Oryzias latipes: one gene and its partners. The protein of the gene in region 1 purifies or fractionates together with the protein of each later gene. This does not show direct contact. Links are inferred from orthologs where the notes say so. Each region holds a gene or a part of one and is shown on either strand. Other genes may lie near its edges.

Region 1 (5,240 bases):
TACAAATGGCCATGGAAACACTGTTAACCGCCATTGCAGTTATTAAGCAGTCCAGAGTGTACGGAAATGAACGCTGTGAAGCCCTGGTCACCTCCCTTAAAGACTGTTTGGTCTCCATTCAGGGGGATTATGGCTACAGGTGTGTACATTTCTTCATTTGAATGCTTTTGACTCACTTGAAACTAACCATTTAATAACACATTTGCTGTTTAATGAGTTTTATTCCCATTTCAATGGTTTTTCCCTCTAGAAGAAGTAGTCATTCTAGAGAAAAAGAAAGAGGTCGTGACAGAGAGAGGGAGCGGGATAGAGAACGGGAGCGCGACAGAGAGCGGCACAGAGATCGCGACAGAGATTACTTCCATAGCGGGGAAAGTGCGGGAATGTCCCAGAGACGCAGGGAGCGTTCCTGGAGTGAAGAAAGGGACAAGAGGTGGTCTCGAGAACAGCAAAGGGATCGACACCGCTAACGGGGAACGGTAATAAATACATAAGCCATTACTTTATGAATTTTGCACTTCTTTTTTAAGTTTCACTGGAAAATTCTTAGTTCCACATAACTAGTGATGTAAATAACGCTTTTATGCGTGGCCATTTTTGCTTTAATTTGAATAAAATGAGAAAAGTTGGAATTTTATTAAAATAATTCTAACATTAAATTGTTTTTGTCTTTGAAAAAACTGCTTTATAGCAAACAGCACTTATGGATTTCATTTATCAACAACAGCTTCTCAAAGATGAAAATCAGTTTGAAATCGATTAATATTTATTTAAACCCAGAGTTTTTTTCAATACAGCTATTTCAATTGTGACCAGAAAAATGCAGAGGGGAGATTTCAAGTTATTTTAAGTCACGCTTTTATGAGCGTAATTTATAAAAAAAATCAGGAGGCCAATTCACCAGCCACATTCTTTTTTCTATATAATTTAATCAAAACAAATCCACTGTCTGAATTCTGCTCTTTTTGCTGTTTGAAATGGCTTTATTTATCACAACTGAATCTTAGTTACACATCTCAACAGCAGTTGTGCTGTGTGATTGTTAAAAAAAATCTGTAATTTGCTTTGGACCAATTTAAAACTTGAAAGGGCATTATGAGAGTTTGCTTTTTCCAAATGCTCTATTATAAATAAATTGTTGTAAACATTTTAATTGTTGGTAACAAAGTGGCATTGTAATTTGCTGAAAACCTTCTGCACATTCACTATAACTCTTCAAGAGTTAAAGTTCCAACCGCCATGACGATGTTTTGTTCTTGCTTCCCCAGATTGGAGGCAGAGGAGCATTGTTGCGTCGAGTTGTATATAAAAGAATCAAGGATTGTTTGTTCAATCTGAGAACACGGTTTTGTTCTTCCTTTATATAATAGGACTTGTTTTAACAAAAATTGGCTGTAGATTTTTTCTTGTAAAATAAGACTTTGTTTGCATGCACCATAACAATTCTTTCTGTAATCATTGTAATTTCACATTTCTTTTGGTAGAAAATCTACAATTAAAAAAAATCCCAAAGTATTCTCGTCTTATGTGCTCTGCTGTTGAATAGTATAACATTATTTGTTTGCATGTTTTCATAAGTACATAAAGTGAAAGGTTGAGCGATTTAACTCAACGCCTCAAAAATTAGATGGCATCTCAACTCAGTGAATCGAATACTTTAAAGAAAAAACTTTATTTAAATAAAATTTTCATTGCCACATATGTGCACAATACACCAAGTCATTATTGTTGACATTTCTTAAACACTGAATATATGCACAGGCCATGTTCAAAGCATGTTCTTCCAGCTAAAATTTTTCCAGCGGTGCATAATTTAACAATTTCTCAATAAGATCCACATGGGAAAGCAGCATCCTCCGACAGCAGTACCTCTTCAGGCCCAGGGCATCAAGAGCATCACTAGAAAAGGGAAGATGGAAAAGTAATTTTAGTGCCAGATATTGCTTGCATAATTACAGAAAAAAAAAAAAAAAACATTTCTATAGTTAGTTTTAAATGTTGTATCCTCAAATGGTCTGAATTCAAACTAACATCTTGACTGACAGTGAAACAGGAGGAGTAGAGGTTGAATGAAGGCCTTTATTTAGTTTCAGAAAACTTGACCATATAGCATTACGGTGACACATTGTTGAACGAACGAAACATGAAGGTAAAATGAAAATGAAGCGCATCTGTCTCACCCTTCAGTGTATTCGGCCTGAAGAAGACCAAGGTAGGCTTCCCATTTGTTCCCCACGATCTTCCCACAAGTGAAACACCTCACCGGGATAATCATTTCTGGATGCTTGAAGAAGGAGCCAAACTAAGATATTCAATCCACAATAAATAATATAATCAACAATCAAATCAATAATAAAAAAAAATTAAATAAACAAAAACATGCCAATATGAATATGGTCATATCTGAGAAAGGGTAATTATGTTACACATGTTCCTACAACATAATTCCGCTTATGATGCTAGCAAATACTTCTAAAGGAAGGTACCAACACGTTGTTTAGGAACGTCGTAACTAAAATGAACGCAAATATCTTGCGCTACAATTTCTGTAAACGATATAATATAATTAAGTAACTTGTGTTTAAATTACTGAGATTTAAAAAACAAAAAGAAAGGCCAACGCTAGCCGCGTACATGCAGCTAGCCTAGCAGCACGCCGTCGTTCACATGCTTCCCAAACTCGGGTACAAATGAAATAAAAATATTAGTAACATTACGTTAAAAAAGGAAGTTGTTAACTCACCTTTATTGGTCAAGTTTGTCCAACACTTAAACAGCGTTATTTGTAATAATAGTAGAGACAAAGTTTAACCGTTGACGATATAAACATCACAGCTCAAATAACCATTTCCGGTGTAATACAGAGCTTCCGGATGTGATCCTACAAAATAAAACTAATTTAAATAAACCACTAAATTTAGGTAAACAATGCTGTTGAGTTTAACTGCTGTGTGTTCATTTTCTGTATGTAAAACACAACTTTAGGATTTAACAAAAAAATTATTTTATCGCGTAAAAGTATTTGTTACAAAAACTGACGCGTACGATTTGCATTTTTACTATATATATATATATATATATATATATATATATATATATATATATATATATATATATATATATATATATATATTTTTTTTTTTTTAAAGAAGGTAGCACATTGTCTAAATACAACCTGCATCGGCCCTCAAATATTGAGAAATCTGTTCCTCAAACCAAAATAAAATCACATCTCTCTGGGTGGGTCTGTAATAATACCAGTTAATCCCAGACGACATATGTGTCCAATGATTAAATGCTTTAATTTAAATCACCTACACATTCATGTTCTATGATAAGGAAACAACTACATTTATATGGTATATGTATTCACCAACATTTGTCTATATGCAAATATTACTTTTTGTTATTTGAGGATTTCTCTGCAATAATTTAGAAAACATTCTAATGTTGCCACAGTCATGTGAGTAAAATAAAATAAAAAATCCTTATTTGGGAATTGGCATAAAATGCAAATCCCAAAAAAATCCTCTTTTTCTAATCTTGACTGTAGATCTACAGCTTTCATTTTCAAGTTTAAATATTTTCATTTGGATAGCTTATTAGCCAATACTTTCTGTGAAACTGTTGCTGTTTATTAACTAATCTTTAACTGTCTTTCCTTATTTTCATTTGCAGAAAAAAAAAGTTGTGAACATAAATCAAATGTAAATCTGATCTAAGCCTTAGTCTCATCTAGATTTCTCAACATACCAGTATTCAAAAGTACCGGTACCCAATTCCTTTTTTATATTTGTTGGCAGTCCATGTTAAAACTCTCTTGAACTTACAAGATTCATTCATTCATTCATTTTCTTAACCGTTTTTCCCTTTCGGGGTCACGGGGCTGCCGGAGCCTATCTCGACCACTTGTGGACAGGTCGCCAGTCTGTCACAGGGTAGAACTTACAAGATCATAAATTTAACTGAAACTCACATTTCTACTAATATAATTGCTTTGATAATTCTTGTGCATTTAAAAAAATAATTCAGACTGGTTCACTTCTTTTATTGAGGCTGAAGTTTAAACTCTTCCTTTTTTACATTTAGACATTTGGGGACAAAAGCCGGGCTGCATTATGAAAATCAGTTAAAATATAGAATAATAAAATATCCTTCGTATCATTCTAACAGACACAATGATAACTATCATCATCATTGGCATCATGTATTGTCACCAACATCGCCATCGTCAACACCAAACATTATTACATCATCTATGCAATTTAACTTGCTACAGCACATGTGCTAAATGAATAGTCCTACCTGAATTATTGCATTTATACGCTGTTAAAATTATGAAAATAAGAATTTTTCCTTTTCTTTTTTTGGTACACTATATTGTACAATGTAAGGTGAAATTTACTTTGGTGCTACTATCTTCTTGGACATGGTAGGGGTTGGAAGGGGTGGCTGTGGTGAGTGTTTTATGATAATTTTCTGTCAGAACTGAGCGCAATATCGAAGTTCCTCTACAACTTAAATTATGTGTGTGTTTGTTACCACTGCCTTCCTTCTTCCTGTTTTCATGAAAGCAGAAACTCAAATTTTATAATTCAAGCTAAACAGACATGCTTGTGGAGCTGTACAGGTGATATTTCGGGCAATAAGACTGCATGGGATAGACAACCAGTAGACATGTTTTGGCAACTTGATACTGCAACACTAATGGCTCTTAAGCAACAATGTAAACAGACAGATCTGAGATGGCTGATTGTATTTTGCATGGCATGAAATGTTAATGATTCCTCTTAGCATTTTACAGTAGAGCTTTTCATCTCTTATTTTTGTCTCCTTCAAAATACAATTTAACTTTTTTTCCCCCAAAGTGTACAATAATAGTCCAACAATTAAATACTATCCCTAAAATGCTGCATGCTTCTATGTTTTGTCTTAAAAAAAATAGTATATTGATTTTAATGTACAAATGTTTCTTTTTTGTTTAACCTTTTATGAAATTCAGTCTCTTCTAAACTGCATTCAGAAGTCTAAACTGTAACTGAACTAGATAATTTGGTTCAGGCGTGGTGCACATTATAGCTCACAAACAGCCTAACTATGTTCACTGATATTGGTGTCTGTGACAGAACCGACTTGTCCAAAAAGTAATCAAAAATAATACTAAAATACTTTAAAAGCAAACAGTTCCAAACAGAGATAGGCCAGTTTTTCCATACCAGATGTTTGTCATAAAGTCTGCT
Region 2 (6,366 bases), on another chromosome or scaffold:
AGCAGCAATCTCGCAGTAGGCAGCTGGTTGACGGTATAAAGATAGAAGGTCCGAGAGGGAGCAAAGTCTGGTGTTTTGGGGATTTCCTGGAGGATACATTTAAAAAAGAGATAATTACAGATAATAAAAATTGTACTAAAAAAAGAAAAAACTAGAACTATGGCTGCTTGGTTCAAACTTTGAGAACTCAACACATGTATTTTTAAATAAATCTATATACATTGGTAAACAGAACAATGCTGTTTTGGATTAAATAACTTCAGCTCAGATGTTTAAAATTCACCACCAGGTTAAAAAATTAGTCTTAGGATAGATCCAGGTGTATGATTAAAACAAATCGTAAACTTTTCATCCAGTTCCTTCTTTAAACCCATTTTACATCCACGTACCTGAAGCTGGACCAGGTTCTGTGAGAGCAGAGTGTACAACATGTCTTTAGCCTCTTTTGCTGGAATCATGGCGAAATCCTCCACTTGCTTCTGCTCCAGATGACGTTTCCGTAGCAACAGGCGGAAGATGCGCGCTGATCTGGAGCCAAATCTGAGGATGAATAAAAGGTATCTTATTAACAATGGGAGCCCAATAGCAACCGTATGTGTGGAGAGCAAACACACACACTGGTGTACCTCTCTTGTACGATGGACTCCAGGGTGGCCCGTGCCAGGTTAGCCAATGCTTGGTTCAGATCTGACAGAAAAGTTAGGGAAAGCTTTTGTTTTGGGTTTAGTAGCGAATGACACGCACACCTGTGGGATGGTTTGAACCTTCAAGTGAGCAGAAAGGATACTGACAATATACATTCCTCCTCCACTTTCCCCAGCCTTCCCCACAAACTCCATCTTAGGAAGGAAAAGTGGGAAACTTTTTGAGCATTTTGTGGGGAGCCAAGCAAAAATCAGAGAGATATTTGAGATGAGGAGGACCTACAGGGTCATCCACCAGCAGAGTGAGGTACTGGTCCAATATATGGCGGGGGATGTTGTAAGTAGCTGGGAGGGACCTGAAGATCTCATTGGCTGAAAGGGGTTTTGTGCACGGGGCAGTGGAAGAGGTTGTCACCTCACTCATCCTCAGCATGGTTCTCACTATTTCACTGCTGGTCTGGGTAGGAAAGATGTGAGAAGACAGCTAGTTAATAATAAATAATAATAATAAATAATTAATAATGAAATAAATGTAAAAAGCTGTAGTATTTAAAGCACAGAGAACAATCCAAGAAAAAAGAGGAATTATTAGGAGTACTTCCAAAAACTATCACTTTATTTCATTTAAAATTTGAATTTTCTTTGATTTTAAGGTCAATACTTCAAAGTCAGATAGTCTTATCAAACAACCAAATGCTTATGCTAAATTCCTTCAGCCATACAAAGAGGGTTTTCAAATACTATTCATTTTTACTTTTAACCATCAAATAATTATACACTGAGGAAATGTATTTGGGTTTTTTTTTCTAGGCAATTATTTTTCAAAACCTGTTTTTCTTTTAATGAATAAAAAAAATGGTTAGTTTGAAATGTTTTGTGGAATTCCCACCTGATCTAGTTTGTTGGCGACAGCACTGATGATAGTCTGATCCCGGAAATGCTGGTGGAACCGTTCAAAGTTCACCTGCCAGTAAATCCCCTCATCCCCATGAGTCTGAGCACCAAAGATCCAAGTTATGAGAAGACAAACAGAAGTCACAACCATAGAAGTCTTAGCATATGCAGTGAACATCTTGCTTTAACAAACGTCTCTCTGACCTCTGGGTCCATTTTCGCTTTTTTCGCATTTCTTTGGTCCTCTCCTTCCTCGCTGGCGAGCGAGCGTTTGCTCCGGCCTATGAGTGTCACTTGAGGAACCCTGTAGCAGTCGGGGAAGCTTTCCGGTGTGGGTGCAGTGCTGCTGGCAGGAGCTGCAGAAGTCGAATTGGCAGTCTGACTGCTCCCTGTCGTTCCTGCTCCTGCTGCTGGGGGACAGCGCTGGAGAAAATGAGTCTCTACCAGTTTGGAAAAGGTGGCGGACACTTCACCATAATCCATGCTCGACCCCTCTGTATCAACAAAACATCAAAGGAAGTATTCATTAGAAAATGAATCTACTGATCGCGATATTTTAGGCCTCAATCCAAAGCTTAACTGAAAAAAAAACCTTCAGAAAACAGATCATCTCTTTTATGGACAGTCTTTTGTTTGATTCTGATGCTCACCGTCCATACTCTGAGTTAGACGGTCTGCGACTGTCTTAACTGTGTTGCTCATCGTCATGTGGCCCCTCTGCAGCAGCTCCTCTATGATAAGCTCACCGGTGTCGCCGTACAGCGTTTTGGCTGTGTATATGTAACGTGGGTAGCGCAGAATTCTCAGTACCCGATCGCAGTGGGCTTTGTATTCCGTCGGGCTCCCCGGTCCTTTTCGACCTTGAATAAACGAACAGGCTCCATGTTGCACAAGAACGCACAGAGACTTCTTTACCTTGATGAAAGAAGAAGAAGTCCTGTTAAAGTACATGAACATTACCAGACATCACTGTATTGTATTGACAAAAAACTGATAAGCAATCAGTTTCAGGTAAAACTGTTTTCAAATATGAATATATATTACCTGAATAATTACATTATAATTTTGTTTCTCTTATTGTTCAAATATCTTTAAAGAACTAACTTTTGCCATATTGCAAGGGACATAGTAATATATGTGACCGTTTGCTTTGAATAATAATTCAAATAATGAATAATTTTGATTATTTTTCAAAGAACATCTGACTACAGCGAATGCAATCTCAGTCTTGCGTTGACCTACCAGATCCACTGACAAGCCAGTTTCATGAACAATGGCTCTTAAATTTTGCGTTCCACTTTTGAGCAGATTTCTTCCCACTTTCTCCACCACTTCTCCAAAGTGCTCCTGCAGCAGAAGACCACACAGACGGACCTCCTGGGCTGTCATCTGCACAAACACACCAACAGTTCAATGAAAACCACTAAGTTAATAATAAGAACTAATGCATGTGCTTTTAGTAGGCTGTAAAGATGAATCGATTCATCCATCTGAGGCAAGATGTTAATCGAATCAAACTATACCAATATGAATTAATTTTAAAAGGAAATAAATCAATTATTATCAATATTGGAAAATACCATTTGGATTAAGGCACAGTAGGCTTTTTTTCTAACTATAACGTTAAAACAGACAACACATCGAATGGCAGCAAAATGTAGGTAAAACTGTCCATTCATTCTTTTTTACTTGTTTGTTTGTAAACATGTTTAATTTACACTTAATTATGTTGCAAAAAAATACAGGGAATGTGGAAAACTTCCCCTGCACTGTTCAGAATCCAGGTATTTATTTTCTGAGTCCCACTGGTTGAATTCTTGGCTAAAGATGTTCTGGATCGATTTTAGATCAGTGAATCGGATCGGATTTGATCGTTCAACATGAACCAATATAAACAATAAATCAATTTTATTTTAGTTCAGTTTAGTTTTTCAATAAACAGCACTTTTTTTAGTTATGTTATCTCTATACATCTAGTTTACGAACTACAAACAACAATAATAGTATTTTACTTTGTTAAAACAGGCACCACTTATTCCAACAGGTAAAATCTAAAAATAAAAAGTTAGATCGGTCATTAAGTAGTTTCCCTTATAGCATACAGTGCATGTAAACTATCTCTTCTAATTTGAAAAGTCAACAGTTGTTCAAGTTCTTTCCCCCTTGGGCTTTTGGATAGTAAAATTACAATTGCATGCTGGGAATTTACTAAATTATCTCTGAATATTTGATGGTATAAGCCTGGCATTTTTTTTTTTTCACAAACCTTTTTCGATTTCAGATCTCGCAATGAAAGCAGACTCCGTGCAGATAGTTTAGCGCATGAGGCTAGTCGATGACAACAAACAGACACTTCCGCTCCCGGTTTTTTGCTTGCTGTGATTCGACAACAGTGCCGCAGTGCATGCCGGGCTGGGGGCGGACAGCTCCCTTCAGCTAGTGGAGGACCGACGTCAGTGTTTGTGCTGCTCCGGGAAGATGGCGGAGGCTGCGGCTGTTCCCTCGCATCGGTTTTTCTGTCACTGTTGTAAGGGAGAAGTAAATCCCAAACTCCCGGTAAGTCGCGTTATTTTTGGTTATTCGCTCATTTTATGTTGAGTGTTATGCGCGGCTGACAAGTCTGCCTTCCGGCAGGTAGCTGTTTGTTTCGGCTACTTCTTGCTACAGCTAAGCCCATAGGCTATTAGCATATAGCAGTGTTTGTTGTTGTTAAGTCAGTAAAGAAACTCCGGTTAGTCGTTTTAGGGGAAACTAAGCTACTCTTAAAACTAACGATAGTAGGTCTTGTTATTCGTGCCTGTTTTAAAATACTTACGCTAATCTCTGTGCTTCAAGGTAGAAGTTGTGTGCTTGGTGGTAAATGATAGATGCATGTTTTTGAACAAAACAGCCCGAATTAATCTGAGAGTTTATTTATTCATAAACTGTCACTCAGATTTTCCTTTTCAGTATATATACACATTTAGTTTTTGTTTCTGTTAACAGCAGTGGCAGTATAAGCAGGGGAAGTTTTCTGTAGATGTCATACGTTGTGGTTTACTTTCAGTTTTAGTGTTAAAGTCAAACGTAACAATGTCGGCAGAAGAGGCGTTTAAATGGCCTACTATTACTATTTTACAAATATTCTTTAAAAGGCCATTTATTTAAAAGGACATTCCTACGTTTTTACAAAAACATTTAACTAACTGTAAGTGTTTGTTTTTTTATTTGTAGTTTTTTTTCTCTTGTTGACTCCGTTTTGTGTTTTTGAAACAAATGTTCCTTGGTAAATAAATAAAAATTGACACACATTTTTCAATCATTGAAATATAAGTTATTTTGTTGATGATAATGATTATAGTATTTCATTTTGGACAAGAAAAAATTTGGACAGGTTAAAATAAATACCAGAAATATCTGAATTTCTAACATGAATGTGTTCTCTTACATGTTTTATAAATTTAGCTTATAACTGGCTGATGTATTGAGTAAATGAATTTTGTTATATAACCCGAATTTTAGGAAACACTGCTTTATGTTGTGTCTAGATTTTGACTGAAAGTTTAAATTAAAAAGTGCAACCTGTTAGCTTCTTAGAAGCAATCTGTTAGACTGATACAGAGATGGAGGGTTCTGTGATTTACTGTGCCATAAAGTAAAAATAAACATCCAAACGTCTATTTGTTTAATCGACCAGTAAACTGGAAACAGAGCTGTGACTATTGCCTCCCCATTATTTTTAAATTTCAGATAATTGGTCACTAATTCTGGATTTACTCACTTGTCTCTTTGTGATTTTCTTTTTCTGTGTTGGATCAAGCAACTGCAAAGATAATATCAAACATTTTTTAAACCTGAAATATAAAGTAAATTATAAAAATCAACAAAACAATACATAACATTTATTTATTACAAGTAATTGTGTGAGTTTTGTGAGTAAATCTGAATTCAAAGGCTTTGACCAAAATAATTTCTGTAATTCATAGTCACTTTTTTTTTCAATTCAACCTTAAGAACATTTGTGAATTTCATTTGTATATTTAGCACTCCAAATCGAGTGAACTACAATCTAAAAAGACATTATTGTTGTGACCCACTTTTTAATGCTACAAGTATTGTACTTCAGGTGTTGCCGTAATGGCTTACAACTTTGTTTTTATGCTAAGTGACCTCAATCCTGTTCCCCTGAGTGAAAAGCTCTATCTTTAAATGAGAGGACAACATATGATCCATCCTGCTGCAAAGGCTGCTTGCTGGTTGTGTTTGCTCCAAGCTGTCATGCTGGTTTTGAACGCCCTCCCCCTAAGGTGTGGTTGGCAGACCAGCCGTACCTCTTTGGTTGCATTCATATGTTGAAACACTAAATGAAAGTCATTATTTATGCTTTTAATCAGCCAATCAAAAAAAAAAAAACATCATACATTTTTCTTAACAATTATCCTTTGAAGTATCACGATATGTGTTGTATTTTACATTAATAAAACACAAGCCCAAAAATGGTTTGGCTCATGAAAACAGTTGCACAGGCTTTTAAAATGTCTGTTTTTCAACATATTAAGATGTAAACAATTAAAAGTACATTTAACTGGAAAGTCTTAATGATGGACATGTTTGCTTATAGTATTTCTAATGTACTTTCAACAGCCCTTAAACCAGGATGTTAACATCGTACACATTGGTGTGTTGAAATATCTACTGTCATTTGAATCTTTTTTACTTGTATTGTGTTTGGCATCTTCAATAGGATGTATACTAAATGTAAAACCAAGTTTTTACATCTAAATGTTACTTTTTTTTCTTTCTGATGTGCTGAAACCCAATTGAAATGAAAAATGTGGCCATAGTTCGA
Region 3 (6,364 bases), on another chromosome or scaffold:
CATATTTTTCATGCCTAAAAGCTGTTTTGTTTTGGTGCGCACTTGAATTCGTAGGTGTACAGTCCAATAGTACCTGTAAGAAAGAGCACGACGCTCCTAATGACACATCAAGTGTCACCTGTCCTAGTATCAGCTGCACTCGTCCAGACTTCCGCACCAGCATCTTTCCCACCAAACCCTCTCGCAGATCCTTCAAATTACAACTGTTGTCCTCAGCTTCCTCTTCCTGTTGTTGGAAAAACAGTTAAATTACTATTTCCACATGTGATCGCATGAGTTGAAAGGTGAACACCTGAAACCTACCTGGGACTCTGTTTTCAGAAGCACGGACTGTCCATCCTCGGACTGCACCTCTGTCCTCACAGGTCTGTGCTCCTTGGTGGGAGGCTGACCAGGAAGAGAGTCAGGCAGCTGAATGAAAAACAGCTCCTCTCCTTTGTTTAGACTCCACTTATGAAGCAGATCAGGAAGAACTTCAGGCTCAGGAAGGGGAGGAGGTCTAAATGTTGCCTCACTCTTCTGTATCTCCACTTCCTCTGGCTCTTGTTTCACTGCAGACAGGATAATGTGGCGTTTTAATAACAAAAAAAAAAGGCCACTTCAAATACAGATATTATGAATGCACACAATTTCCTGTTTTGGGTAACTATAAAAACTGCCAGAAATGAGCTGTACAGATAAAAGTTTCTGTAGTTACCAACGACTCCAGACTCCATGGGATCATCCCCCTCTTCTGACTTCTCAAGTTTGACAGTAGATTTACTAAACTCCTCCCTAAATCCCCATCCTGACACAGAAAGGGGGAGCTGGACAGGGCAACTCCTCTGCTCACTCTTTAGGAAGGGGTCATCAATAAACTGCAAGAAGGGGAACGAGAAAAAAAAAGAGAGAAATGCCTTTTGGTGAAAGTCTGTGATGGTTGTAACTAAGAGAAGGATGGACGTACATTGTCCCGCTCCAGCTTGCGCAGAATTTCCTTCGTCTCCTCTTCAGTCTCCCTCTTCTCCTTTTTAATGTTAATGATGGGTGAAGGCCCCATGCTTGGAGCATCTCTTTCGCTTTCATATCCACCTATGAGGGGGGGGGGGGGGGGGGGGGGGGGATAAATCATTTGAAACTTTAAAAATGGCAGTTCAGCTGCAGCAGCAAACTGCATATGCTAGTCCTGCTGGCCCCCCACCTCTCCTTTTCATCATCATCTCGGCCGGCCCCTGCTCAAAGATAGAATGGGACTGGATGATCTCTTGGCGACCTCGGCCCCTGCCTCTGTCTCTCGGCCCTCGACCACGTTCTCCACCTCTCCGATCTCTCCTTTGATCAGTCTCAACTTTGGCTCTGTTGCAACCAAAAATTTTTTTTTTAAAACAGTTAAAGCTTCAGTTTACACGAATTTTATTTGTTCTTCACTGCATTTTTCAATCCTAGAAATAAAATCAACTTACTCCTCTTTAACCTTTCGGCCAATGATGTTGGGTGTGAAGGTTTTCTATAAAATTAAAAAAAAGATAAATGAGTAATAAGAAAAGCTGTTTATTTTTGAAATCTAGAAAAAAAAAATCATGATTGCAAGTAGGGCAAAAGAAGCTACAGAAGGGTTTCTTAATATATCTGGTGTGATTAACTCATCTAACACAATTCCTAACCCAAAGATTAAATGGCGAGTGAGGTATGATGCTAACCTTCTTCACTCCTCCCAGGGTGAGGTCCCTTGACCGCATGGAAGGGAGGCGTCCAGGAGAGAGTCCAGCTGGTGGTCGACGCCCCATCTGGAGTCCTACATTGCTGCTGCTGGCGCCTGCAGGAGTGGGAACGCGTTGACTGCTGGACTCCCCGGAGTCCGCCATCCTGAACTTTAAAGGGATGTCAAACTCCCAACCTGGTGGCCAACAATAATACTCATCATCATCTCTCTCAGACAATGGTGATGTTTAAAAGGAAAATACACAAATATTACATAAAAATTGTTTTCAAATGTCTTTATGAGGAGGTTGCACACATTTTACTGCCAGGTGAAACACTACTCTGGATTCTGTTGGCGTGTGCCTTTAAAACAGTTACGTAATGTCCAGGGTGTGTGGCATCTTTCCAAATACAACTCTTTCCCAATCAGTCTGGTAGTGCACTTCCTATCCCCCTCCCCTCTGTTCTTACTACTTCCTGCACGGTCTTCCTGTCCTCTGTTGTGCCTTCAGACAGCGCGGCACTAGAACTGAACCCTCATTGTTGGCCTTATAAAACCTGACCAGCAGTTCCTGAAAGAAGAGGGCCTGCCTCAACTTCCTGAGAAAGTACTGTGTTCTGACCAGGTGATCTCAGCTGTGACGTTTATTTATGGCCCCTCATCCTCGTGTGTCGCCAATCATTGGATTTCAAAGTAAAGCTACAGGCTAGAAGTTCTTTTGTTTTGTTTTTTTGGCCCCTATGCCAAAATTTAAAAGAACCAGCTGTTATCTCGCAAAATAAGATCAACGCACTTGTTTTTGTAATACATCTTTGCAAGAAAATTAGCAATGCTCAACAGCACGTGACACTAAAATTAGCAAAAAGATAAAGAAAAGATTTTTAGTGTCTTATCATCGCTACAAAAGGGGATTTGCGTGTCCCTCCCTTCATGTCCACAAATTCTGTCACTTGAACTGCAGCAATATTTAAACTTAATTTCATCTTCAAAAAATACAAAAGCTCAAAAAACAATTGAAATTTGTAAATTTTTTGGACTACTGATATAAGTTTACTCTCGTATTTTCTCTTTTTATTATTATTTTTTTTTAACTTTATTTTATTTTTTTCTTTGTTTAGTTTTATTTTATTTATTTATTTTTATTTGTTATTGCCTTTTGTGATTGCTTCTAATAATTAAAATTTTCTTAATGTTGTAACACGTTTATTCTACTGTACATTATATGTGCATAATTGTTGCATTCTCTTGTTCTGTATGTTGCAATTGTCCAATTAAAAAAAAGAATTCTGTTATTTCCCTAAACAAACACATTGAGCATGCGCGTCTTACAGGGTATGTTTGATTTGTTGTGCGGGGACGCTCAATTCCTTCACAGTCAAGAGGGCATGTTTCTGTGCCAGCTGGAGGTTGGTTAGTTTGTAACAAGACCAGAAAATCGATCAATGATTTCTGCTGTTTTTCTGAACACTATTGTGATTATGGTCACATGTCTTTTCTAAATTAATTGTTTTTCCACACATTGCAATGGAATGATGCTTTGACATTTCTTTGCTAACATCACCATCACGTCGTTTTTACGCTATAGTTAAAAAACCAAGCATGTATCTGAATGGTACTTTCCAAGATCGATTATCAATTTAATATAATTTTGAAAGGATTTTATAATGGTACAGTTCGATTTGAATCCATTATCAACTTGTTTCAGCCACAAAATCTGTTTTGATGTGTCACTTTATTAATTAATCATTAGACCCCATACCTAAAATTAATGTTATTGAGGTTTACATTAATGTAATTTGTAATAATACCGGGATAAACAAAAATATACTTTCAGTCCGTTCTGTAACCTTTTTCTTTTTATCTTTTTTACTCTGTTGTGGTTCTGAACGTAAGCAATTCAAGACATTAATTAGGAATGATTTCTTAAACTTTCGAGTCTAAGCATTGAGAATAAATTGTGTTTACAATGATATTTGTCAGTGATTTAAATACACAACCAGTATTTACATACGATGAATGAAGAAAAATGTTACAGAAACACGTGGCTAGTAAGATAGATCACAAACAACGCGAAAGCTGTCCAGAGGAAGTCTTAACATATTGCAGTTCTCCAAAAACTTACACGACACGTCCTCGGTGGTCCTTATTCGGAGTTTTCCCCCCTAAAACCTGCCAGATATCAGAAACAAAATCCTGTTGCCTCGTCCACCGCTGCATTCACTAGCGGCGCCATGACACTTCCGCTTTGGCTTCAACTTGCTCTCGAGGATCAAACATGCGCAGAAAAACGCGCATGCTTAGAAACATTATTTTGTTTTATTTTTATGTTTTATTTCAGAATCCACAGTCCAAAAAAATTCACTGTCATAAAAAAGATAAGATTAGATAAACGATTATACTAGTCTTTCCAAATGTTTCCTAAAACAGCTAAATGAAAATTATATTTTGAGTTCTGACATATCGTGCATTAGTTTTCCTGCAAGTTTTGTCAGATTCATAAAAATCTTTTGCATGGATTAATGTTATTGAATGTTTTGAAATAAATGTCTCAGATGTGAAGAACCAAAAGATATGGCATATTTCGAGATTGGAAATTTTTTTTTTCTAAAGATGTTATTTTCCTCTGACATGCTAAGGGAACTGATTATATTACTACTACTACTAACAATAATAATAATAATAATAATAATAATAATAATAATAATAATAATAATAATAATAATAATAATAATAATAATAATAATAATAAATATTTCATTTGTTTGGGCACTTGTTTCCTTGGTTATTTTCTGTCTTACAGCAAAATAGTCTTATGCAACATTCACGCTTTTATATTTCTCGCCTTTCAGCATATTCCTTCTGGGGTCTCGACAGCGAATCAGCTTTCCCTGATTCTCACAGGTAGCTTTGCAGAGATTTTTGCGCCAGATGATCTTCCTGACACAACCCTGTATTTTATCCTAGCTGGGGACCGGCACAGGGGAACCTAGACTTGGGCCCCCTTGTGGCTGCATAGTTACGCAGTACAACAAAGGGTCTTGCCTAAGGGCCCACACTGCATCAAGTTCATTGTGGCCCCTGGGAAGCGGATCCTGGTTTCCCATGATCCAGTCCTACACAGAGCCAACTGAACTATCCATTTGCTACCTTATGCAAACAACTGCATGCAGTTAAATAAAACAGTAAGATTAAATATTTCCATGCAGTTAAACAGATTAAATCTAATATAAACTCTAAATGGAAACTCACATCTTTACATTTTTAAGGAATTAAAATAGAGTTTGTGATATAAGTAATGAATGTTCCTACTGTGTGATATAGTAATAATACAAATAATCTGTTAAAGGAAACATCCAATAGGCCTTCAGAGTGCAAAGAAAATATTTGTTTTTAATATGTGAAAAATATAAATAGATGCAGTTAAATAAATCAATTTGATCAAACAGGGAAAGTTTAGGTTACCTTTTTATGAGCTGCATGTCATTAGAGTATGGTTTAGTGTGAGAAAATATTAAAGGGGAATTCAAGATATAGAGTTTAGATGATGTTTGAAACTCCAAGTTTAATGACGATTTTTTTTCTTTTAAGAATAACTTGGCAAGAAAAATGTATGTTTTTTTATGTTCTATATACACAAAATGAAAAATTTGCCAAGCAGAAGGAGTCAATGTATCCTTTTCAATGGGTCTCTTCAAAGACAAAAGTGTGTACTCATCTCCAGAGCAGAAAGGATTTCATGAACAGTCGGAATTGCCATGACTGATGATGGATGATTGCAGTTTAATTACATTCTGAGGGCATCAGTTCTCTGCTGCTGACTGAAAGTAAATTAGACTCTTCAGTACCGCACACTGTCTGTGGAATTATGGCAACACACCATGGCCATTTCTGAAATACAAGTAATATAGGTCGTTGAAAAGAATACACTCTCACTTTGGACCCTTTCCCATGTTTATATCAATTCTTTCAGTAGCCGATTAGTCCATAAATCTGAAAGAGCTTTTATTTAATCTTTAAAATAATCCTACACTGAGTTGTCCTTTGAGGCTGGAACAACAAGAGAAAAAAAAATCAACAACAACAACATCGTTTTGACAATGAGTGCTGGTAAAAATCTGCTTACTTGGGACTTACAGTGTCGTATCGCTCGCTCTGGGATAGGCTGGGGGAGGAAGCCCTGTCGAGTAAGGCCATATGGCATAACAGTTGGCCCATGTATATTTTTTGAGGTCTTGATGGTGTTCCATGTAATCCTCAGGAAAATACTGAGAGATTAATCTTTTTGGAAAAGCCAGCATAGTATGTCATGATGGTTATGCTATGTGTTTCCCTTCCAGCACTCACTGCATCTCCATGTTTGAGAGCTGACATTTATGAAAGCAGCTAAGTGATTCTGCACTTCGGGGCAGATTTACTGCCAAGTGATGGGTAGTGTATGGTTGGCTGGCGAAATGGTGATGCTGATGAGGTTGAGTGCAAATCCGACTAAGGTCACACGGCGGTTGGAGTTTTTATTTTTTTTTATCTGGGTATTTATTTATCCATTGTGGGTGCACAGAAGTGAAGTAAACATCATGCAATGCTTGGAGCAAAAAATGAGATTGGGAGGAGGGGGAGGGAGGGTGGAAAAGGGGAGGTGGGGTTAGACTGTTTGTGTGATGCAGAGTGCGAGAAACAGTCGGG
Region 4 (6,491 bases), on another chromosome or scaffold:
AACTCAGACAAGTGTCAAAGCGCTTCAGTGTGGCGATTAAAACCAAAGGAGACATACGCGGAATACGTAGTGGTTTCATCGTAGGTTGTGCCGTCCACATTGAGAGCTATTTGTTCTCCTTTACTGCGACAGTAGTTTGGACTCATGGTGTCCATGGATATGTCCACCTCCACCTGGACAAACATGTGCAGGTCAGCAAACACAGCTTGACATGAACTTCAACTAAAATCCAGCTTTCTTTAAATGTTGACACTCAACACTCAACATTAAACTAACTTGTTAAGTCGTTGTTTATGGACAAAACGACTGGATTCATATTCAAATAAACTGAGACGTAGAAATATGTGAAATTTTACTTAGACGTTGCTTCCAGTCTGCAGCAGTTTAGAGAAAGTCATACATTTAGATTCACTAAAGTTCTTCTGATGACCACAAATGAGTGAAAATGTGAGCATTGAAAGTTTAAAGTATACCTGAAGAAAGTGTTAAAACAAAACTATACGACTATATTCTTGAGATAACGACTTAAGTTGCGAGATAAACACTGCTTTCTTAAGGTAACGAAACAAAATGACAGCTCATTTTCTCGAGCAAACAAGTAATTAAGTCAAAATCTGATGAAAACGGTTTTCTGTTTTCTTGGCATCATAGGATACGTTTAATAGAAACGCTTAACAGTTTGTCACAAATATGAGAAGATCTAGGAAAAAAATAGATTTATCTTTAACCTTTAATGGATTACTTTAGTTGTGATCTAGTTGTCGATCATAAATGAATTTGAAAACAGCCATTTGAGCAGAAAAATTAGTGGTCTCCAATAATAATCTACTTTTTAAAATGCTTTCTTGAGGTATTTCATTTTAAAGTCGTGATGAAGATGTAATTTAATTCTGTTATGTCCTGAAATCCGTTCTTTTTATTCTCGTGATAATGAGTTAGTAAGACTCTACTTCAAGAAATCAAACTGGAAAAAAAATGTATATGAGCAAACATGACAAGAGTGGGACTTCTGTAATGACCAAAACAGCACATGAAGATGAAAAAAAATTGGAGTTTAGAGCTTGTTCACCCTCTGTTGTTTGGGTTTGATCTTAGCCGCCAGATGAGTGACTTTGTCATAGGTCATAATAGCCGGCCGGACAGGATACTGCACAAAAAACGAAAGATTAAACGATGAGTCAACACAACAAGCCAGAGGAGAGCTTTTTTTCAACTATCAAAGTTTAGAAAAAATACTATTTTATTAATCTGTTATTAAAGATAAATAATTAAAAGCTTAAGGAATAAATGACTAAAAAAGGAACATTTTGAAGAACAAATTTTAACAGAAACATTTCATTAAAATCAAGATAATTGAAATGGGTTTGGTGCAAGTTACACATTTTCAACAAAACATCTGAAAGGGCAGAAAAAATGCTTATTCATTATGTTTGTGGCTCTCAAAACAGAAAAAGAATAATAATTTTGAATTCAATTTTTCCTTTTTATGTGTATATTTATGTGACTAACACATTCAACTGACTTCCATTTAACAGTAAAAAAAATAAATAAAAAAATAAAAATAAAAAGCATTGACCATGAGGAAAGTAAAAGGTTTTAAGCAGAATATAAAAACAGGCACAATAATGAAGGAAATGCTTACCTGGAAAAGATAGAGCTTATCTGCGAGGCTTTTGGCGAGGTACACGTCAATCTACAGAAACACACAAATGAAAATCAGACTTTTCCACTCTGCACAAATGACTCTGAGCTTCAAGGTTTTCAACGTAATATTATATGAGTCTTAACTGCATTTCTATTCATGTAGTTATCTAAATAAAATGTCTTAAAACATAATAAATAAGAAAATTGTTAAACTAAACATTATTTGTTTAGCACTTTACATACATAACGTTGCTTCCTAAAGTGCATGAAACATAAGTACACAAAAAGTCAATTAAAAAATAGTTTTTTTGAAAACATATTAATAAACAATACCAAAAAGGTTTTTCTGCCTATGAATACATCTGCCTCTTAAACACAACAACTTCTCTTAAACAATGGCACAAAAGGCTTCCTTGGGCATTTTGTACAAACCACCTGCTAATCTACACACTAAAACTCCCACACCAAGTGTAAACTGAAGGAGACATTTCCAGTTGAAAACCCCAAAGCAGCGGCACTCCTTTTTGTACATATGGCTCAATATGCAATCCTGCAGATCAGGTTATAGGAAAAATGCTGCAAAACTCAGAGGCTCTTCTTTTTTGGGGGGGTTTCCCAAAGAAACTGATGACCCACACTCTGATGAAAATTGTTTTTTTTTTTTATGATGATGGAGGACATGTATGTGAAAATTAACCACTCTAATTAAAATGCGTTTGGAAAAACCAAACCACTTGCCTAATACTGTTAATGTTGTTTAATGTAAATATGTGACCGATTTCAGAGGCTGTCAGTAGTTTCCATTCTCTTTAGAGAAGGTCACAGTGTAAACACAGATGAATTGTTAGACAACAGCATGTTGGATTGTTTTTCAATCGACCGCAGACCACAGAAAAACGTCTTCAAATTAGCTTAAAACAAACACTAATACATGCTAGTTTAATGGGAACTACATTTACCCATAAACATGGTCATTTCCTTATTTTTGAGATCAATAAAGTTTAATTCATTCATTCAAATACATATTTCTCATGGCTCAAAGTTGCTGCATAGCAGTGATCAGAAGAGGATTGAAACTTTATTTAAATTCCAGACGTAAACATACCTCCTCTATAATTGGATCATCTTCATCTCCACTGGCCATATCTATAGGATCAGGGGAGCAGCAGTGATATATCAGAGGACTTCAACCTGGACAAAATAAATGCAAAGCAAGAATCCGTCATTGATTAACACTGCTTTTAATATGCTACAGCAGGTAATCCAAAAGAACAGAAAGGTTTAACAGAAGTCCTAGTAATCCAGATGTACATTATATTTGTAAAAAAAAAAAAAAGTGTTTCATTGGTAGTTAAACGTATAACAAGTTACATTTCTGTATCTATATGCGATCTAAACTAATCTGTGATGATGCAGCATGTCAGATGATGCTTTCACGGACCCATCACGGCGAAACTGATGTAATAGTACGCAACCATCCAAAAAATTGAAGTTTTTCACTTCCCTAAATACAAACGACGTCCAGCATCCTTGTCAATCTGTGATTTATGTTGGTTACACAATTTTCTGCAGGCCCACAGTTCAGAAAAGTCAGATAGTTCTTGCTTCGTTAGCTTCATTAGCCTAGCAAGCATCAGCTCTTTAAATTACTAGCCACAGGCCCCCACAACAGAGACACTCAAAATAACATTTCTTTACAAATACGCGCTTAAGTAGACAGAGACGAACGACACTTTTAACTGTGGAGTTTTCTGAAAATTCCAAAACTGAAGGTAGGCTGTAGCTAAGCTAACCAGAGTAATGTAGCTTAGCGTGCTAACACACACATCAGAGATTTATGATAAACAAGACAAAACATCAGATTTAGCACTTTGGACATGTGGCATCCCCATAGAAACAGCGTGAGGCCTCACCTGCTCACCCCCTGCAGTTTAAATATATAACACGTTCAAGAACAGTCCATGAGTGAACTACTAGACTTGAAGCAAACTACCGGGCTTGAGGTACCATGATGTTGACGCTGTTTCAACAGACACGTGGGGAGTTGGACGTGCTCGTGCAAATAATGCTATTCGGACCAAACTGCGGAACTGAGCACTGTCACGTGTCTTTATAACCTATTTACTTTAACTTACCTTTTATTCACTAATTCGTTCTGCATGTGTTTTCTTTAACTGTTAGATCAAGCGTTGAGGAAAAACAACGACGTACCAAAAAGAATTCTTGGCAGCGGTGGGATTCGAACCCACGCCCCCGAAGAGACTGGAGCCTTAATCCAGCGCCTTAGACCGCTCGGCCACGCTACCGTGATGCATTGCGAAGGAAAATGTGTCATCATAGTCCATAGGCAGCTGAACGCTGCCTATTCATGTTCAATTATAAATGCAACCACAAGGCTGCACGACGCATTACCTGTCCCATGTCCGGCTAAAGGACATGGGACATATATATATACGTGCCGTATATGTATATATGAATTGTGTATCACGAAACAACAAGAACCGAGACATTCGGAAAAGTTTTTTTTTTATTTGGAAATAGGTAAGTACCAATGAAGAGAAACCTTTTATACCTGGGTTACACTAAGACTGGTATAATTTACTTAAAGAATAAAGAATCAATAAATACTTCCTACATTTAACACAATTGAGTGTCAATCAGTTGTGTTAAATTTAAAACAACTCATTGTCACTCAACGTCACCCTAGTGGTATCCAGTCGAGATGCAACAATTCACTTTCTCCACGATTTTGTTCAGTTCAATGGTGAAACACACGGTTCAATTTTAAACAGGGAATTGTGAGATGGTTTGTAAATACAAAGGGTTGTGTCATGAAGGGCACCCAGTAAAACCAAAGTCAATACAGTCGTGCAAACTACAACAATAAATTTTATACTAATCGTGGCAAAGGTGTAACAACAACCACCAATGGTACAGTCATCCACAGGGTGCCAATGGAAATTGGACATGTATGAGAGGTGTGAGGCAGTGGTGAGATGGTCTTCCTTGTTTGTGTGGTGATGAACAGACTGACAGATGAAGTTAGACAGAAATCTCTGTGGACCATGATGTCTGCAAATGACATGCATTGAAAGCAGAAAGGAAGTGGAAGAACAACTAGAGAGGTGGGGGTTTGACGTGGAAAGGAGAGGACTGAAGGTCCGCTGCAGAAGATGGGGAGGATTTCCAGTCTAGAACAACAGATTGGTTGTAGAGGCATATGCAGACAGGTTGTAATGGGTGGAGGAAGGTTTAGGTATGATGTGAGACAAAAGAAAAATGTTAGCAAGAATGAAAGGAAAGGTGTAGAAGATGGTGAGAGAGCAGCCATGTTGTTGGTTTAAAGCAGAGGTCTGCAACCATCAACACTTAAAAAGCCATTTGACCTTTTATGTGTTGGAGTAGTAGGAGCCACAAAGTCTTTAGGAAAATTTGATATTTGCTTTGCATTCATTACTTTGTTATTTTTGTAATAAATATGAATTACCGGTATATTAATTTTTTGACTTGAAAAAGCACAAATACCCCTTGTGCTATCCTATGGGGTCAAGATGACCATTGACGTGTTCTCCCTACCATGACAAAGGTGGATAAAGGTGAAGAGGATTTCATGTAATCCATGGACACCAGTGAAGATCACAAATCATTGAAGAATCTTGTGGGGTCTAGATGACCCAACGCCCAATGTTAAAGTGCCTAGGATTGCACAACGGATTCAAAGAAAAACTTGCGTTTTCTCAAAATGTGAAATTGTTTTTTACTTTTCACAGAAGCTGGCATGTTTTCCTTTTAAAATAAAAGACTTCCTGTGCCAAACCGGATTATCCTGGAGCAGCTAACGGACTCCTATAAAAGGTTTAAACAATTCAAGGCAAAAAGGAAATCTTCTCTTGTTATACCGTAGGTCTATTTTGGTGAGTCGTCATTATTTTTCTTACTTACTCCTGCTGTTAACCTGAACATAAACACAACTCAATTAGTTTATGATTTGATAGAAAGAAAAAGGAAAAAATTATGCAGCCTAAGAAAATATGCGATTTAAGCTCATAAACTGAGAAATCAGAAAAATATCCAACTTTTCAATCAATATATTTTAAATCAGTGCACTCTGGAGGAAGAGTAGAACAATCAAGGCCTCAGGATGTCAGCAGGAATATAAAAACCTTTACATAGTTTATCTTCTATCGTTGCACCTCAGCTATAAATTCATAAACTTAACTAATCTAAATTAAATCAATCAAGCAGATTGAGATGGTTTGTTGAAGATTTTGGAGTCCCAGAAGATGAGCAAAACAGAAGAATTATGGATGTAGTCCATGACTTTTTTTTGTGTGCTTTGGTTTTATTGAGGAAGATGAAAAGGAGAGATTTTATAGAAAATTCAAAAGTGGCTTTGTTTCTCACAGAAACTACAAATAACTCAATTACAAATGAAGGGAATGATCACAAAGGAAGCATGGCTCATATAAACCAATGCAAACTTTATTTTTAAATTCTTGTACATATTTTGCACATACATCTTTCAGACATAAATGCATAAACGTTTATTAAAGAAAGATAAGTAAACAGTCTTCTTTGTTCCATTTTTTTTGTAAATAACCTTTTTTTTTTTACACAACCGTATTCATTTAAATTAACCAAAGACAGGAAATGAGAGAGAAAAGAGGTCAGGATGATTACTTTCACATTTGAAGAGATAAAAAAAAACAAAACAAGAATGATCATCAGCGGCTTAGCACTCACTCACACACCCAAACCGGCAACAGCAAAAATTCTGCCATAAAATTTATATTATCCAAAATCATTCAAGCGTTAAGCTAAATTAATTAAAAAATAAGCGACAAAAA

What was found. Proteins that work in one complex are often made in the same cells at the same time.
Region 2: the proteins of polr2l (region 1) and polr3c purify together in Homo sapiens (co-immunoprecipitation; 3 studies listed by BioGRID and IntAct, with this or other methods). This does not show direct contact. The link is inferred for Oryzias latipes from reciprocal best matches to the Homo sapiens genes POLR2L and POLR3C.
Region 3: the proteins of polr2l (region 1) and polr3d purify together in Homo sapiens (affinity purification with mass spectrometry; 3 studies listed by BioGRID and IntAct, counting the BioPlex papers as one, with this or other methods). This does not show direct contact. The link is inferred for Oryzias latipes from reciprocal best matches to the Homo sapiens genes POLR2L and POLR3D.
Region 4: the proteins of polr2l (region 1) and polr3e purify together in Homo sapiens (affinity purification with mass spectrometry; 4 studies listed by BioGRID and IntAct, with this or other methods). This does not show direct contact. The link is inferred for Oryzias latipes from reciprocal best matches to the Homo sapiens genes POLR2L and POLR3E.

Annotation. Positions count from the first base shown.
Region 1 is NC_019861.2:18,859,605-18,864,844, forward strand, and holds polr2l (DNA-directed RNA polymerases I, II, and III subunit RPABC5), read right to left. Parts: upstream 2,876-5,240; 5' UTR 2,744-2,875; intron 2,303-2,743; exon of another isoform or gene 2,285-2,302; 5' UTR 2,276-2,284; coding exon 2,181-2,275; intron 1,900-2,180; coding exon 1,788-1,899; 3' UTR 1,649-1,787; downstream 1-1,648. Other genes in the region: cpsf7 (cleavage and polyadenylation specificity factor subunit 7), read left to right, coding at 1-139, 251-470. UniProt on the Homo sapiens protein: DNA-dependent RNA polymerase catalyzes the transcription of DNA into RNA using the four ribonucleoside triphosphates as substrates.
Region 2 is NC_019874.2:18,839,117-18,845,482, reverse strand, and holds the start of polr3c (DNA-directed RNA polymerase III subunit RPC3), read right to left. Parts: upstream 3,924-6,366; 5' UTR 3,805-3,923; intron 2,928-3,804; coding exon 2,781-2,927; intron 2,454-2,780; coding exon 2,189-2,453; intron 2,033-2,188; coding exon 1,743-2,032; intron 1,639-1,742; coding exon 1,534-1,638; intron 1,102-1,533; coding exon 928-1,101; intron 840-927; coding exon 788-839; intron 688-787; coding exon 627-687; intron 541-626; coding exon 390-540; intron 87-389; coding exon 1-86. Other genes in the region: E3 ubiquitin-protein ligase RNF115, read left to right, coding at 4,017-4,094. UniProt on the Homo sapiens protein: DNA-dependent RNA polymerase catalyzes the transcription of DNA into RNA using the four ribonucleoside triphosphates as substrates.
Region 3 is NC_019867.2:17,410,474-17,416,837, forward strand, and holds the start of polr3d (DNA-directed RNA polymerase III subunit RPC4), read right to left. Parts: upstream 3,924-6,364; 5' UTR 3,804-3,923; intron 1,877-3,803; 5' UTR 1,845-1,876; coding exon 1,680-1,844; intron 1,487-1,679; coding exon 1,443-1,486; intron 1,336-1,442; coding exon 1,181-1,335; intron 1,072-1,180; coding exon 947-1,071; intron 858-946; coding exon 698-857; intron 552-697; coding exon 304-551; intron 227-303; coding exon 74-226; intron 1-73. UniProt on the Homo sapiens protein: DNA-dependent RNA polymerase catalyzes the transcription of DNA into RNA using the four ribonucleoside triphosphates as substrates.
Region 4 is NC_019877.2:13,141,854-13,148,344, forward strand, and holds the start of polr3e (DNA-directed RNA polymerase III subunit RPC5), read right to left. Parts: upstream 3,924-6,491; 5' UTR 3,856-3,923; exon of another isoform or gene 3,780-3,855; intron 3,724-3,779; exon of another isoform or gene 3,558-3,723; intron 2,836-3,557; 5' UTR 2,789-2,835; coding exon 2,750-2,788; intron 1,694-2,749; coding exon 1,643-1,693; intron 1,148-1,642; coding exon 1,070-1,147; intron 174-1,069; coding exon 58-173; intron 1-57. UniProt on the Homo sapiens protein: DNA-dependent RNA polymerase catalyzes the transcription of DNA into RNA using the four ribonucleoside triphosphates as substrates.